2 linked regions of the Saccharomyces cerevisiae S288C genome follow. The protein of the gene in region 1 purifies or fractionates together with the protein of each later gene. This does not show direct contact. Each region holds a gene or a part of one and is shown in the gene's direction. Other genes may lie near its edges.

The links.
Region 2: the proteins of COX26 (region 1) and COX13 purify together in Saccharomyces cerevisiae (affinity purification with western blotting, with the first as the bait; one study listed by BioGRID). This does not show direct contact.

Annotation. Positions count from the first base shown.
Region 1 is NC_001136.10:689,008-696,532, forward strand, and holds COX26 (Cox26p), read left to right. Parts: upstream 1-2,006; coding exon 2,007-2,207; downstream 2,208-7,525. Other genes in the region: VBA4 (Vba4p), read left to right, coding at 1-1,526; TRM1 (tRNA (guanine26-N2)-dimethyltransferase), read right to left, coding at 2,542-4,254; DPB4 (DNA polymerase epsilon noncatalytic subunit), read left to right, coding at 4,578-5,168; serine/threonine protein kinase KIN1, read left to right, coding at 5,693-7,525. UniProt on the Saccharomyces cerevisiae protein: Component of the cytochrome c oxidase, the last enzyme in the mitochondrial electron transport chain which drives oxidative phosphorylation.
Region 2 is NC_001139.9:140,815-148,768, forward strand, and holds COX13 (cytochrome c oxidase subunit VIa), read left to right. Parts: upstream 1-3,993; coding exon 3,994-4,383; downstream 4,384-7,954. Other genes in the region: histone deacetylase HOS2, read right to left, coding at 1-912; YGL193C (uncharacterized protein), read right to left, coding at 1,102-1,413; IME4 (mRNA (N6-adenosine)-methyltransferase), read left to right, coding at 1,432-3,234; protein phosphatase 2A regulatory subunit CDC55, read right to left, coding at 4,995-6,575; 40S ribosomal protein eS26 RPS26A, read right to left, coding at 7,415-7,774. UniProt on the Saccharomyces cerevisiae protein: Component of the cytochrome c oxidase, the last enzyme in the mitochondrial electron transport chain which drives oxidative phosphorylation.

The DNA of each region.
Region 1 (7,525 bases):
TTATTGCAATGGACAGTTCTATAATCCTAGTAATTGCGTCCAAAATTGCTTCGGAGTTTCATGAGTTATGGAGATTATCCTTAGTCATCTCAGCATACCTATTGAGTAATGCTATTGGGCAACTGGTATTTTTGAAGCTATCTTTAATATCCAGTGTAAAATTGTTGTTGTGTATTGCTCAATTCAGTTTTATCCTTGGTGGCTATTTATCTTGGAGTTCTGCCCATTTTTGGACGTTTATCTTTGCCCGTTGTGTCACAGGATTTGGGGGCGGTTCCTTAATAGCGCTCAAAAGTACTATTATGAATCGGTTTTCTCAAAAGAACGACAGTCGGTACTCATTGAGTGCCTCTATGATAACATTTGCTATGGGTGTGGTAATTGGGCCCTTTATGATGAACTTGTTTGATTCTTCTCATGGTAGCGGGTGGAGAAATGCCTTCTTAATACCAGTTCCTTTTTGCCTTGTGAATGCCTCGATTATGCTGGCAGATATGTATTCTGTTAAGAGCACTTTATATGGACGCCCAACGCCTACATTATGGAAAAGATTCAAGAATACTCTATTAAGTCCTGATTTATACGAAATATTGACACTTACGCTATTCCTACTTTGTTTCGTTCAAGTGACCTCATTGGATTTAACAGGGTTAAAGAATAATACGATGATTCAAGCGCTACTATTTTCTGTAATTATCGTTTGTGGCATTTTATTTTTCTTGATAGAGACAAGCGATACTTACATGAACTCTGTAATTTCAATGTCCTTACAAGGTGACAAGCGTTTAATATGGACAATGATAGGAATTTCATTTTGCTTTGCAGCATTAATGTGCATCATCCCATTCGGTACAACGTACTTCATCATTGTTTTAAATTTAAGCACTTTACAACTTGCAGAGAGATTGTCCCCATTCTTTTTCTCCATTGTACTGGGTTACTTTAGTGTTTCTTATTTTTGGAAGTCGAAAGGACAGAATTTTTTGCTAAAATTTGTTTTAAGCGGAGCCACCCTGTTACTATATGTGGCACTTATGGGGGTAAGTTTGAATTTACCAGTATGGAAGCAATATATATGTTTGTCTCTGCCATTTTTGGGCTCCTCTATGATATTGACCTTGCTGTCAAATCTTTATCATGAGTACCATGAACAAAGAAAGTCACCTATCAGTGGTTCTATCGTATATTGTTTCGGTGCCGTGGGGGGGACGGTTGGTATTTCCTTGGGTGGTTATGTCTTCCACAAAACATTAATAAAACTTATGCATGAGAAGGTGATGCCATTTAGCAAGCAAGGTTATCTTAAAAAGGACCTTTTGAAAATTATCAAGCACGCTACGGAATCTTCAGATTGGGTACACGAATCAGCCCCAAAGTTTGTTTTTCAAACTTTGATTGAGTGTTATTTACAAGCATGTCGAAACGTATTCAAACTCTCTACCCTTTTTTTTACGATTACTGTCGTAGCAATATTCATTTTCAACAGAATCCATTGTCGTAGTCAAAATTGTTTGTCACTATCTTGAACCGGTAGATGAAAATGTATACTTTAAATAATACAAATACTTTTTTTCTTTTTTCTTAAACCCGATAATACTTTTGTCGCTTAGATAAAGATGCAGGGAACTTCAATCATTGTGGTGACCGCACAAAGGCGGGATCTGAAAAATGATCGTATGGGGCGGGGGAAGAATAGAAGAGTGAACAAGGGGATATGGTATCCGTGCAAGAAATGAATGGCCAGAATAGCTTGATTTTTACTTGCTGAAAATGCAGCAAGCGGAAACCCCTCTATCAGTAGGCAACCAAAGAAAACATGGTTTTGTTTATGATAGTGTTTTCTCCGACTAAATGACACTTAATATATAAGCCAGTCATTTTTCTTTCATACTTTCCTCTTGCATGACGAAACAATTCTTTTTTTATTTCGTTTCCTTGTCTGTACTTTTTAGACACTTGACCATATCACAGATATTTACAGACTCTTTTAATTCTAAATAGGTAAAATGTTCTTCAGCCAAGTTTTGAGATCTTCCGCTCGTGCTGCCCCAATCAAGAGGTATACAGGCGGTAGAATAGGTGAATCGTGGGTAATTACGGAAGGTAGAAGGCTCATTCCAGAAATCTTTCAATGGAGTGCAGTATTGAGCGTTTGTTTAGGTTGGCCTGGTGCTGTATACTTCTTTAGTAAGGCAAGAAAAGCATGAGTTTGATAAGAAAAAAAAATTTGCTAAAAATGAGTGTAACACTACCAACATGGCGAGTTTAGTTTGATACTAGGCGCTATACATTATTATTTATATGCCCAGAGGTTACAACAGTGGCTACAATGCAAAAAATATACTGGCTTATATTTTTCATTTGAGATCTGGTTCCTCAAATATATATATATATTTATTTATTTTTTACACATACATACTGCCCTCCTGATTACTTTAAACATCTATATTACAAAAGAGAAGCATTCTTTTCCGTCCATTATACCGTTCTCGGGCGGATCCTTAGTTTCTTACGTTTTAGCTCTAACACTAATCAAAATTCTTATGAAGTGTTGGGACGGGCTTTTGGGCCCCAATTCTTTGTTGGATTTTCCTGATATCTCACAATTTTTAGCTTCCTTAGTTTTTCAATATTACCGCTTTGTTCATTTGGTGCGAACGACAGCTTTGAGTCATACTCTGATTTGACAGTGCCACTCAACCATCCTGGCATTGCCGATAAAATCTTATAGCCCGTAGTATTTGGATTCATTTTGCTTAAGTCTTTCTTCTCATCATCACATTTCTGCATCACATACCAGATTGCATCCCATGGAGCGTTAGTCTTTAGGGACGATGGTTGGGCATGTGTCAATGAACATTCAAAGCCTAGGGAACCTAGGCCTGCGACTACTTTTTTCAAGGGAGGTACTTGTAATTTTATTACCGATGCAATATGGTTAGGACTGAAATAGAATGGCGAATCGGATAATTCATTCTTAGCTAGAGATAGCATACCTTCAATTCTTTTACGTGTTCCATATGTATCATCCTGGTCACGATGCTCTTCTTTATTAATTCTCAACACCTCCTCGATGAACTCCTTGTTGTGTAGAGGTCCTGCATACATTGGACCAGCTAAATGGTATGTCCCCTCGCAGAACTTACATTTAGTATCAACCGGAGGCCCTTGCGCAACCGAGTATTTGGTGAATGTTTTGTTGTTCCTACCTTCGCGTTGAGAAATTCTGCCCAGAGGTTGATTGTGGTAAGAGCCGCAACGGGAACAATGGTAAGTAGTCATAGTACTTGACATAACGTTTTTGACTTCAATCGGGCTTGTTTTGACTTTGACAAAAACTCTGACGTAAAAGTCAATGCTCAACGACAAAAGCGGTTCCACAGTTTTCTTGTATTTCGCGGCAGTTTGCTTTAGTAAGTTCAATACTAGTCTCAGCGCACTTTCGTGAGTTGATTCATGAGAAACCATATTTGCACCACCATATAAGGCAAAACACTTTTCTGGGTATCCGTTACCGGCCAAAACGGATAAATCAGTGCAAGTTACCAGCATTAGACCACCCTCCTCAATACTCTGAATAGCCGCATCTACAAAAGGTGTAACGGTACCGTAAGGATCCAAGTCGATGACGTGAAACTTATTATTCGTCGCTTTGTTACGGTACATTAAGACATTAGCATCATCAAGGTTTGGCTTGACAATGTTTTCGACACTATTATATTCAACGTTTCGTTTTATAGATTCGACAGCCTCTGGAAGTAAATCGTTAGCAATAACTTCCCTCACATGGGGAATTTCATGAGCATACCTAATGGCTCTTAACCCAGTGGCTGACAATGCTTCCAAAATATTTATATAAGGTTCGTTTCGATTAGAATTACCAACGGCTTCTTTTGGTGACCCGTTTCCCATTTTTTGACGCTTGGAAGAATCATCGTTAGTTTCCGCGCACCTTTTCTTCTTACTTTTTTTATTATTTCTCTTTTGGCCACATTCCTCACCATATAGGTTGTCCCACGCCTTGATGCATGTAACACTTAGATCTCTATTAAATTGTTGGATGGGATTATAGAAAACAGTTTCCTTTTTAGGGAAAAGAATTTCTGCTTTTCCTTCCTTGACTATATTGAAATCCTCAATATTGATTCTTGGTGCACCATACGCGGTAAAATTCGCTTTAATTTTGGATATAGCAGCCTTCAACATTCCGTGTAAATTTGCCCGCTTGAGGGGTATCCTGAAGAAACCTTCCATATCTACATTGTAAGAGGAAAGGTATCAACTTATGACTGCTCAGGATCTGTAACTTTGCGATGAGCATTGAATGCGATGAAAAAAAAATAATGCTTTATCCCTTTGGACGAATAAAGAAAGGCTCAAATTGGAATAACGTTAAAAACCAGATTCGATCATCAGAGCTTAAAATTGTTATTCATAGCGGCACAATAGCAGAAGCCACAGAATATTACCTAGAGGTTTTAGGTGAAAGGAAGGATTTTTTTAATTATTTAATACTTTGAAATAGAAGTCAAGCCTTTCATTGCTTATTTATATCAGACCATATATTTTTACACACGATGCCACCAAAAGGTTGGAGAAAAGACGCCCAAGGGAATTACCCCACTACTTCGTATATTAAAGAACAAGAGAACATTACGATTCAGGACCTGTTATTTCCTAAAAGCACTATTGTGAATTTGGCACGCGAAGTGCCACAGCAAAGCGGCAAAAAGCTGCTGATAAATAAAGACGCATCACTAGCGTTACAGCGTGGTGCTACAGTATTTGTTAACCACTTGCTCCTGTTTGCAAGGGAAATTGCAAAGAGTCAAGATAAAAAAAGCTGCAGTGTAGATGATGTTCTGAGTGCTTTGGACCATATAGGACACTCGGCATTGAAGGGTCCGGTTAGAGATAAACTAGATGAATACCAAGCTGCTGTTGAACAGAGGAAGAAGGAAAAACTAGATAGTGGTGAAGTAGATGCTGATGGCGATATAGATATGGGTGAAGATAAGGAGAATGTGCCCGTGGAAAAGGTTAAAGAGCATGACGAAATAGAAGAACAAGGCGATGCATTACAGGACGTAGAAGAGTCCTCCGAAAAGAAACAGAAAACGGAGAGCCAAGATGTAGAAACTAGAGTTCAAAACCTTGAGCAAACGTAACCCCGCTATGGAAACTGTCTAGTAGTGCTTGCCACCACTCCCACAGGATCGTAGTATGTAACTTGCCTTTATTACCTACATACATAATAAGCTATACTCATCGTCGTTATTTGCAAGCCGGGGAACCCAACGCGGCGCCAATGCGGAAGGAAAGAAAGGGGACAAGAAGTTGATATTGGTGGAACGTTAACAAGAAATTATGGCGTTGAGGAAGTGTATTAGCGAGATACGATATCAAGCAGGTTTAGTTAGAGCCACTTTGTGATTTGAAATTTTTTGAGATTTACTTCGTTATTATAAGGACATACGGTAACCTAGGCTAGTTAACATAATTAGTTGTCACCCTTCGCCCCCCTACCCTATCGGTCTTTCATTTTCCAACTATTGATTAGTAAAATTCAAACATCTTTGCTCCGATTAGAGCAACTGAATATACTAGGGATTTTGGGCTATTACGCATTTTTTTTTTCAACTTCTTTTAAACAGGTACAGTTTATTACGATTACTTTTTGCTCACGTAGAATATGGATGATTATCACGTAAATACTGCCTTCTCAATGGGCAGAGGTAACCAGCAGGATGATGGCAATAGTGAAAGCAACAGCATGCATACACAACCAAGCACTATGGCGCCCGCTACGCTGAGAATGATGGGAAAAAGTCCACAGCAGCAGCAGCAGCAGAACACACCGCTAATGCCCCCGGCGGATATCAAATACGCCAATAATGGTAACTCACATCAAGCAGAGCAAAAGGAGAGACAAGTAGAACTTGAAGGTAAATCGAGAGAGAATGCACCAAAGCCAAATACTACCAGCCAGAGTCGAGTTTCGTCTTCTCAGGGCATGCCTAAGCAGTTTCATCGAAAATCGTTAGGAGATTGGGAGTTTGTTGAAACAGTTGGTGCAGGTTCTATGGGTAAAGTGAAGCTGGCAAAACATCGTTACACTAATGAGGTTTGTGCAGTAAAAATTGTAAACCGTGCTACAAAGGCTTTCCTACATAAAGAACAAATGCTGCCACCACCCAAAAATGAACAAGATGTTTTGGAGAGACAGAAGAAATTAGAGAAGGAAATATCTAGGGACAAAAGAACTATTCGAGAAGCGTCCTTGGGACAAATCTTATATCATCCACACATATGTAGACTTTTTGAGATGTGCACGTTGTCAAATCATTTCTATATGTTGTTTGAATATGTTTCAGGTGGTCAGCTGTTAGACTATATCATCCAACATGGGTCAATACGAGAACACCAAGCGAGAAAGTTTGCTAGGGGTATCGCGAGCGCCTTAATATATTTGCATGCTAACAACATCGTCCATAGAGATTTGAAGATAGAAAATATAATGATTTCAGATTCCAGTGAAATCAAGATAATTGATTTTGGACTTTCAAATATTTATGATTCTAGGAAGCAGCTTCATACATTCTGTGGCTCTCTGTATTTTGCCGCTCCCGAGCTGTTAAAAGCGAATCCTTATACAGGACCTGAAGTAGATGTCTGGTCATTTGGTGTAGTTTTATTTGTTTTGGTATGCGGTAAAGTGCCATTTGACGACGAAAATTCGAGCGTTTTACATGAAAAGATCAAGCAAGGTAAGGTTGAATATCCCCAACATTTATCTATCGAAGTAATATCACTGTTATCCAAAATGTTGGTAGTAGATCCGAAAAGAAGAGCCACACTTAAACAGGTTGTGGAGCACCACTGGATGGTAAGAGGGTTCAATGGTCCCCCTCCTTCTTACTTACCGAAAAGAGTTCCCCTAACTATCGAAATGCTTGATATAAATGTCTTAAAAGAAATGTACCGTTTAGAATTTATTGACGATGTAGAGGAAACAAGAAGTGTTTTGGTCAGTATAATCACAGATCCTACTTACGTTCTTCTCTCTAGACAATACTGGACTTTAGCGGCCAAAATGAACGCAGAATCCAGTGATAACGGAAACGCGCCAAACATAACAGAGAGTTTTGAAGACCCAACTCGGGCATATCATCCAATGATTTCCATATATTACTTGACTTCTGAGATGCTTGATAGGAAACATGCGAAAATTCGGAATCAACAACAGCGACAGAGCCACGAAAATATAGAAAAGCTTTCTGAAATACCGGAAAGTGTGAAGCAAAGGGACGTAGAGGTCAATACAACCGCTATGAAATCAGAGCCAGAAGCCACGTTGGCGACAAAAGATACCTCTGTGCCATTCACTCCAAAGAATAGCGATGGCACAGAGCCCCCCTTACATGTCTTAATTCCACCGAGGTTAGCAATGCCAGAACAAGCGCATACGTCACCAACGAGTAGAAAAAGTTCTGATAATCAACGCCGTGAAATGGAATATGCTCTC
Region 2 (7,954 bases), on another chromosome or scaffold:
TACGCATTCTCCATGTGCCTTTATATTTAAATTGAAGCATCCTAAGCGATCATGACCTAAGGAATCCGCACCGCATTGTTGGACAATAAGTGTTGGTTTGAAAGTCATTATTAGAGGATCTACAATTGACTTGAAAAGGTTTATATATGAGTCGTCATCTATGCCATCTTCTAGGGGTACATTTAATGCGAAATGTTTTCCTTTGTCGCAACCAATTTCTGTCAGATCACCAGTTCCTGGGAAAAATTCGCCATTATATTTATGAAAAGACAACGTGAAGACCCTATCTGTGGTGTAAAATGCCTCCTGGACACCATCGCCGTGATGTAAGTCGATATCGATATAAAGGATTCTTGGGTGATATCGTAATAAGTTCAAAATAGAAAGCACAATATCATTTACATAGCAAAACCCAGATGGACTATTCTTTTTTGCATGATGAAGACCACCAGACCAATTTATCGCTATGTCCGATTGATTGTTGATTAGTTTCCTGGTGGCGTCAAGGCTCGCACCAGTGTATAGTGTTGTATAATCATATAAATTTTGAAAAATAGGACAGTCGTCTCCAATGTTAAAATTTTCAAGTGTGCCTCTGGGCAGTTTGTTTGCATTTTCTGGTGAAACCTTCGAGAGAAAATTCACGTAGTCTTCCGAGTGAAATTGTAGTAATTCGTCTCTGGTAGCGCTTCTTGTTTCATAAAGGTCCATAATCTTGTGCAATCCATAAGAGGAAACTAGGTGATCCGTTAGCATTAACCGAAACGGCTTCATTGGATGCTTAACACCATAATGGTAATGTGAAACTTTGGAGTTAAAATGATACGATACCCTGGGAGAATAAGCAGAATTAAACTCAAATAATGGTTCGTTCTCCTTTGTTTTCACATCATAACTAAATGTTCCAGACATGTTGCGTGTTGTTATTCACTTGATACCTGATTTTAACGTACTTGAGTAATCTGGCGTCTTTTCTATAACTGTACATTGGCGACACACCTAAAACTGATTAGAATCGTTTCAAGATGCTTTCAGTTCAACATTTAGTAACATAGTAGGAATATCACGTTTAACGATGCCCCAAAGAACATCGAGAATCCTCTATATAGAGTATAAACAGGGCATTCTACATTGGTATAGAGGTGCCTTAGGTATATAGTGGTACCGGTCACATAAATTGACGGGAATATGCGTCTTTAGGCGGCTTTTGGCGTACAGTATTGTTCTTTCTTTCGTGCTTGTGAAACTTGTTATAAACAAAGAAAGAGAAAGATCTCCCCGGCATTCTGGAAGATCGGTAACCGCTGGAGCTATAGGAAAGGGAGATGGATAACAGTAAAGAAAACGGACCATATAAGTTAGCATTGGGGGTTTTCGAAAAAAATAAGAATTGGCATTCAGACTTGAATTCATAAAAGTTGTAAGCAGGCTATGATTAACGATAAACTAGTACATTTTCTGATCCAGAATTATGATGACATCCTAAGAGCACCGCTTTCTGGACAGCTCAAAGATGTGTATTCACTGTACATCAGTGGCGGATACGATGATGAGATGCAGAAGTTGAGAAACGATAAAGACGAGGTCTTACAGTTTGAACAGTTTTGGAATGATCTTCAGGATATTATATTTGCAACGCCGCAGTCCATTCAATTTGACCAGAATCTATTAGTGGCAGATAGGCCAGAAAAAATTGTTTACCTGGACGTTTTTTCCTTGAAAATTCTCTATAACAAGTTCCATGCCTTCTACTATACATTAAAATCGTCCAGTTCTTCATGTGAAGAAAAAGTGTCGAGTTTAACAACAAAACCGGAAGCTGATTCGGAAAAAGACCAACTGCTGGGTAGACTGCTTGGAGTCCTGAACTGGGACGTTAACGTCAGCAACCAGGGGTTACCACGTGAACAACTGAGCAATCGCTTACAAAATTTATTGAGGGAAAAACCATCATCTTTTCAGCTTGCTAAAGAAAGAGCCAAATACACGACCGAGGTCATTGAATACATCCCGATATGTAGTGACTATTCGCATGCATCTCTATTGTCCACCTCGGTGTACATTGTCAATAACAAAATCGTTTCTTTACAATGGTCCAAAATATCCGCATGTCAGGAAAATCACCCAGGATTAATTGAGTGCATTCAATCAAAAATTCACTTTATCCCTAATATCAAACCACAAACTGATATTTCGTTAGGAGATTGTTCCTATTTGGATACCTGTCATAAATTAAATACGTGTCGATACATTCATTACCTGCAATATATTCCGTCATGCTTGCAAGAGCGAGCTGATCGTGAAACTGCGAGTGAAAATAAAAGAATACGGTCAAACGTTTCCATTCCATTTTATACTCTGGGCAATTGCTCCGCACATTGTATCAAAAAGGCTTTACCTGCACAGTGGATCCGTTGCGATGTGCGGAAATTTGATTTTAGGGTTCTTGGAAAGTTTTCGGTAGTTATTGCAGATCCTGCATGGAATATCCATATGAACCTACCATACGGTACTTGCAACGATATTGAACTATTAGGTTTGCCTTTGCACGAACTACAAGATGAAGGTATTATTTTTCTTTGGGTGACGGGTAGAGCTATAGAATTGGGTAAAGAGTCTTTGAATAACTGGGGTTACAACGTGATAAATGAAGTTTCATGGATAAAGACAAACCAACTGGGTAGAACAATTGTTACAGGTCGTACGGGTCATTGGTTAAATCATTCTAAGGAGCATTTATTGGTGGGCTTAAAGGGTAATCCAAAGTGGATCAACAAACATATTGACGTCGATTTGATCGTATCAATGACCAGAGAGACTAGTAGAAAGCCTGATGAACTGTATGGTATAGCAGAACGGTTGGCAGGCACCCATGCCAGAAAACTAGAGATATTCGGAAGGGATCACAATACGCGGCCTGGCTGGTTTACCATCGGAAACCAGTTGACAGGAAATTGCATTTACGAAATGGATGTCGAGAGGAAGTACCAGGAGTTTATGAAGAGCAAAACTGGAACCAGCCACACTGGTACTAAAAAAATCGACAAAAAGCAACCTTCAAAATTACAGCAGCAGCATCAGCAGCAGTATTGGAATAATATGGATATGGGGAGTGGTAAGTATTATGCTGAGGCCAAGCAGAATCCTATGAATCAAAAACATACTCCCTTTGAATCCAAACAGCAACAAAAACAACAATTCCAAACACTAAATAACCTATATTTTGCTCAGTAAAGCGTTAAATAATCCTTTTAAACATTAATAGCATTGCATAAAAAAGATGGTCATAAAAAAGACTGCAGCGGGAAGTAAATGGTTTCCTGGTCTGTATTAGACAAACTTTGGAATAGAGAAGGATATGGTTTATGTCCAATAATTATTATCCGAGTCCGTGTATTTTTTTACATCAACTGGAACAATTTATTACCCGGATGTTTAAAAATTGTTGTCGCCTGGAGAAAGCTAATACTAGTTCTGGCCATATTTTCAACCATTAAACACTACTAATGTAATTACTTGACTTATTTGCTCCCACTCTTGGTCGGTTCTTTCCCATGGCGCATTCTACCATTCTTTTTTTCTACTCCAATCGTTCTTACTGGAAACTGTGGGAATAGCGAAGAACGACTATTATTTGCTAATACAGAGTAAGCTATCCTGCTGAATAGGTAGACGATAGTAGTAACCCAACGCCGCTATCCTTTCGATTATACCGCTATGAATGTAGTGATATGGTGCGGTATTGACACAATATAGTAATTTCGGGTAATTTTTTTTCCCACCAATGAGAGGCGGTACTGGGAGTATCGGTCTAAGAGAATCGAAAAATAACCCCCAGCTGGGATGTGATCACGATGAGTGACGGGATACATTAAATATAACAAACATACACGTTGCCTTGAACGTTTTCACTACACATCGCATGTGTTTTATCTAGATTTAAAATCATATTACTACAGTTCTACAGTTATACAAATAACAAACAATAGAAAAATGTTTAGACAGTGTGCTAAGAGATATGCATCTTCATTACCCCCAAATGCTTTGAAACCTGCATTTGGCCCACCAGATAAAGTGGCAGCTCAAAAATTTAAAGAATCATTAATGGCCACTGAAAAGCATGCGAAGGACACATCTAATATGTGGGTTAAAATCTCAGTTTGGGTCGCCCTACCAGCAATTGCTTTAACAGCTGTGAACACATACTTTGTTGAAAAGGAGCATGCTGAGCATCGTGAACATTTGAAACATGTGCCAGACTCCGAATGGCCAAGGGATTACGAGTTTATGAATATCAGGTCTAAGCCTTTTTTCTGGGGTGACGGTGATAAGACATTATTCTGGAATCCTGTTGTCAACAGGCACATCGAGCACGACGATTAATTAATTGATTAAGTGAGAATAAACTTTTCGAAAAATTTTTATTTATGATAATTTTACTAATTCTTACTTATTTCTTTTATATTCGATAAAAAAAATTCAAAATAAAAAAAGATTAATCCTTTGATAGGAACTAAAGGTACTAGGTATTTTGGGCGGCGAAGCATCATTCCGTTCTTAAACATCTATATATATATAATTATATTGCAAATGTATAAGCATTTAAAAACATAAACATGCACCTATGAAGAAGAATTTAAGACGTTTTATTTTTATGTTCCACGCGTTTTGGTGAAGTGATGAAAGAAGTCCTGATAAAGGGATGTCGGATTAATAATTGATACAGTGTTTATAAGATAGCTAATCAGAAAAAAAACGAAAGAAAATGGTATAAGTCTCAGAATAATGATAATAAAACACGCTTGAAGTAGAATAAAAATATAAGTAGAGAAGATAAAATAAAAAAATAAAGATAGAAAGATTTTCAATGAGGGGCAAATCTAAATCTAAAAAATTTGAATTCAAGTTCAATTTAAATTTCAATTAAAACAGTAGTAGTATGTGGGGAAGATATGGGATAAAAAAAAGTAAGGGAAAATAAGGAATTATTATAATTATAATGCGGAAAAAATGAATAAATTATTAGTTGCTGCAACAGCAATACTATTTTCTCTTGGATGCCATGAGAAATGTAAAATATTCTTCTTGAAATCAATATCGTCACCCCAATCCTTATTTCTTGCAGACCTTTGCGCTAGCGAACCGTATCTTTTGTTCCTGAACGCTGTTTTGTCAGCTTGTAACACGATTTCATTCATTTCGGTTCCCGAGTCCTCCGAATTTGCTCCTTCTCCTCCCGCTATACTGCTTCTAGAGCTATTACTACTTCCCACCATGCCTGTGTTGCGTCCGTTACTCCTACGCTTGTGGCTGTTGCCACTACTACTAGAATCTTTATTTTGTATGCTGTTGTGGATATTTTTATTGCTGTTGCTATTAGGTGCGTTGTGTTCATCAAAAGTTTTGACTATGCCATTATCATTATCACCAGAAGTTACTACATTAGGATAGATCATGAAATTGTTATTGTAAGAACCAGTCATTACACTTGAACTATCACCACTAAAATTAACTTCAAATTTATCGAAAATCGCATCGTTTTCATAGGTATCACTCAATCTTTCCTTCAATTGCTCATGTATGTTTATGGTTTTCAAAGGCTTATTATCCATATTTACGTCCCAAATTTTGACAGTTAAATAATCTCTGGATGCAATATACCTACCATTTGGACTAAATTTTATGTCGGAAATTGACGACGTGATTTCTGTAAAAAAATTATGATTGATTGGATCCAAATATTCTTCAAATGTTTTGGTTTTATTGTCACATAGGGAATTTTGTCTCATATCACACAACTTTATTGTACCTTTGGAAGAAGAGTACATGAATAAATTACATTCTTGCGGATGAAATTCAGCGCTTGTGATCACTTCGGTAAGTTCTTCCATATTGGTTGGCTTGATATCTACGATGTTGAAGCTCTGATCTGGTATGTCCAGATTCCATAAATTGATTCTCAAGTCGTCAGCACTTAAAAATGTTTCCTGATCAGAATTCAACGATATCGAATTAATGTGATAGGTATGTGCATTACTATATATACGCTTTGGGGTGGCAGCAATGATTTTGTCATGCTGTGATAATTGAGGCAGTTTCAGCGATTGTAAAGATAATACAGCCCTCACGGAGCCTCCTCTACTGTTATGGTTATCGGGCTTGCCTTTTTTCGCAAACGTAACCCCTTCTGTTAAGTTGTTCTGGCTTACCAATTTTATATTTTTCTCATAAACTTTCCAAAGTTTTATAGTTTTATCATTTGTGCTCAAAAGAAAGTGTGATCTTTGAGTTGGTCGTAACCATTTGATTTCATTTATCTTCTCTTCAATTTCTAAGGATTTTAAATAATCAAATTCTGCGTCATGACTTTGAAACTCTGTTAAAAACTTATATTCGCAATGTCTACTATTACTTCTTTCAAAAAGTACCACACGGCCACCTTTATCACCAGTGGCCAGATAATTTCCAGTATAGTCAAATTCTACAGCTGTAATTAGATCCGCCTCTGTCACCACAATATCTGCTTTATCACCAAAACATTGGCTGAATTTAAAATCAAAATTGTTTTGTGCCATTGTGCGCTATATTATATTTCTTTATGCGTAAGATCTCTCCAGTTTGACCTCGATATGTTGGCTAGATTTTATGAGGTTTACAGTTTATAGAAACACTAGTTTTCCCTTTCTTAATATGTTGGTGGAGTGGGGGTAATCGTATTAAGCTGCCTTATTCACCCTCTGATAGGAATAAAAATCGAAACAGGACGAAAAAAGGGTGAACTAAAATATAGAAGAGAGCCTAATTGACGTAATCGAATTCTTCTAGAATGCGTTTGTATATTCAATTTTCAATTCTTCCAGTCTCTTCGTGGAAAGTTCTCTAACGTAATAGTCTTGTCTTGTGCAAACTCCCTTTATCTTTGACGGGAAATGTTAGGCAAAATTGGATGGAAAAGAGAAAAAAGGAAGGAAAAAAACAAAAAAAATCTACTTAGTTAAGGATCTATTGACGTGCGCGGGGGGAGTATATGCCAATTGTCTCAAAAAAAAAACGTTTATGCCGTGCCGGAATAGAAATAGTTACTGGTCGTTTTCCTATCTGATATAAATCTGAGTAAAACGATTATTGTCTAACCCAATGCAATATATACAGATAGCATTCCGCTCATAGTTAATAATTAACTTCAGACAGTTTTTTTCAATATCTCATTAAAGGGAAGAAAGGGAGGCGAAAAAAAAATCAAAAAAATTATACTTCGTATCAAATTATATTCGTGGAAGGTGACGATAGTAATATTTGATGTTGAACATACTTGAAACATTAACATATTTAATAGAAAACTATTGTAATGGTTATTTTTTATTGATTAGAAATAGTAGAAAAATTTACTTATGTTTCACCTATATTAATCAAGTTATAAAGCCTTCTTGGCGGCATCAGCAGGGGAAACCTTGTTTTCTCTGTTGAATCTTGGTCTTTGAGGTGGAGCTCTGTTCTTTCTGTCTTCTCTGGATCTGACTCTGACAATTCTGGCGTGAATAGCACAAGAAACACAGTAGTGTAACTTGTTGTAAGTCTTTGGCAAAGCGTATTCAGGGTAGACAGAAGCTTCGGACAAATCTCTGACGGCAGCGGCTTCAACAATGTTTCTGATAGCCATTCTCTTGATAGCCTTATCCTTTGGAATAGACTTGGAACAGTTGACACATCTGACTGGTTTGACGTGACCTCTACCTTTCTTGTTTCTACCGTTGGAAGCTCTCTTCTTTGGCATTTTGAATGATCTAATTAAATATTCATCACGAGTATTGCAGGTTTGCAAAGAGTTAAAATAATTAGTTAGTAACTTCTCAATTTTTTTAAAATGATCGTGGCAAAAAGGGAAGGAGATATTTACGTAACATTTGAAATTTTCTCGGTACAATATTCTTCAATAATAAGTACATTGCATACG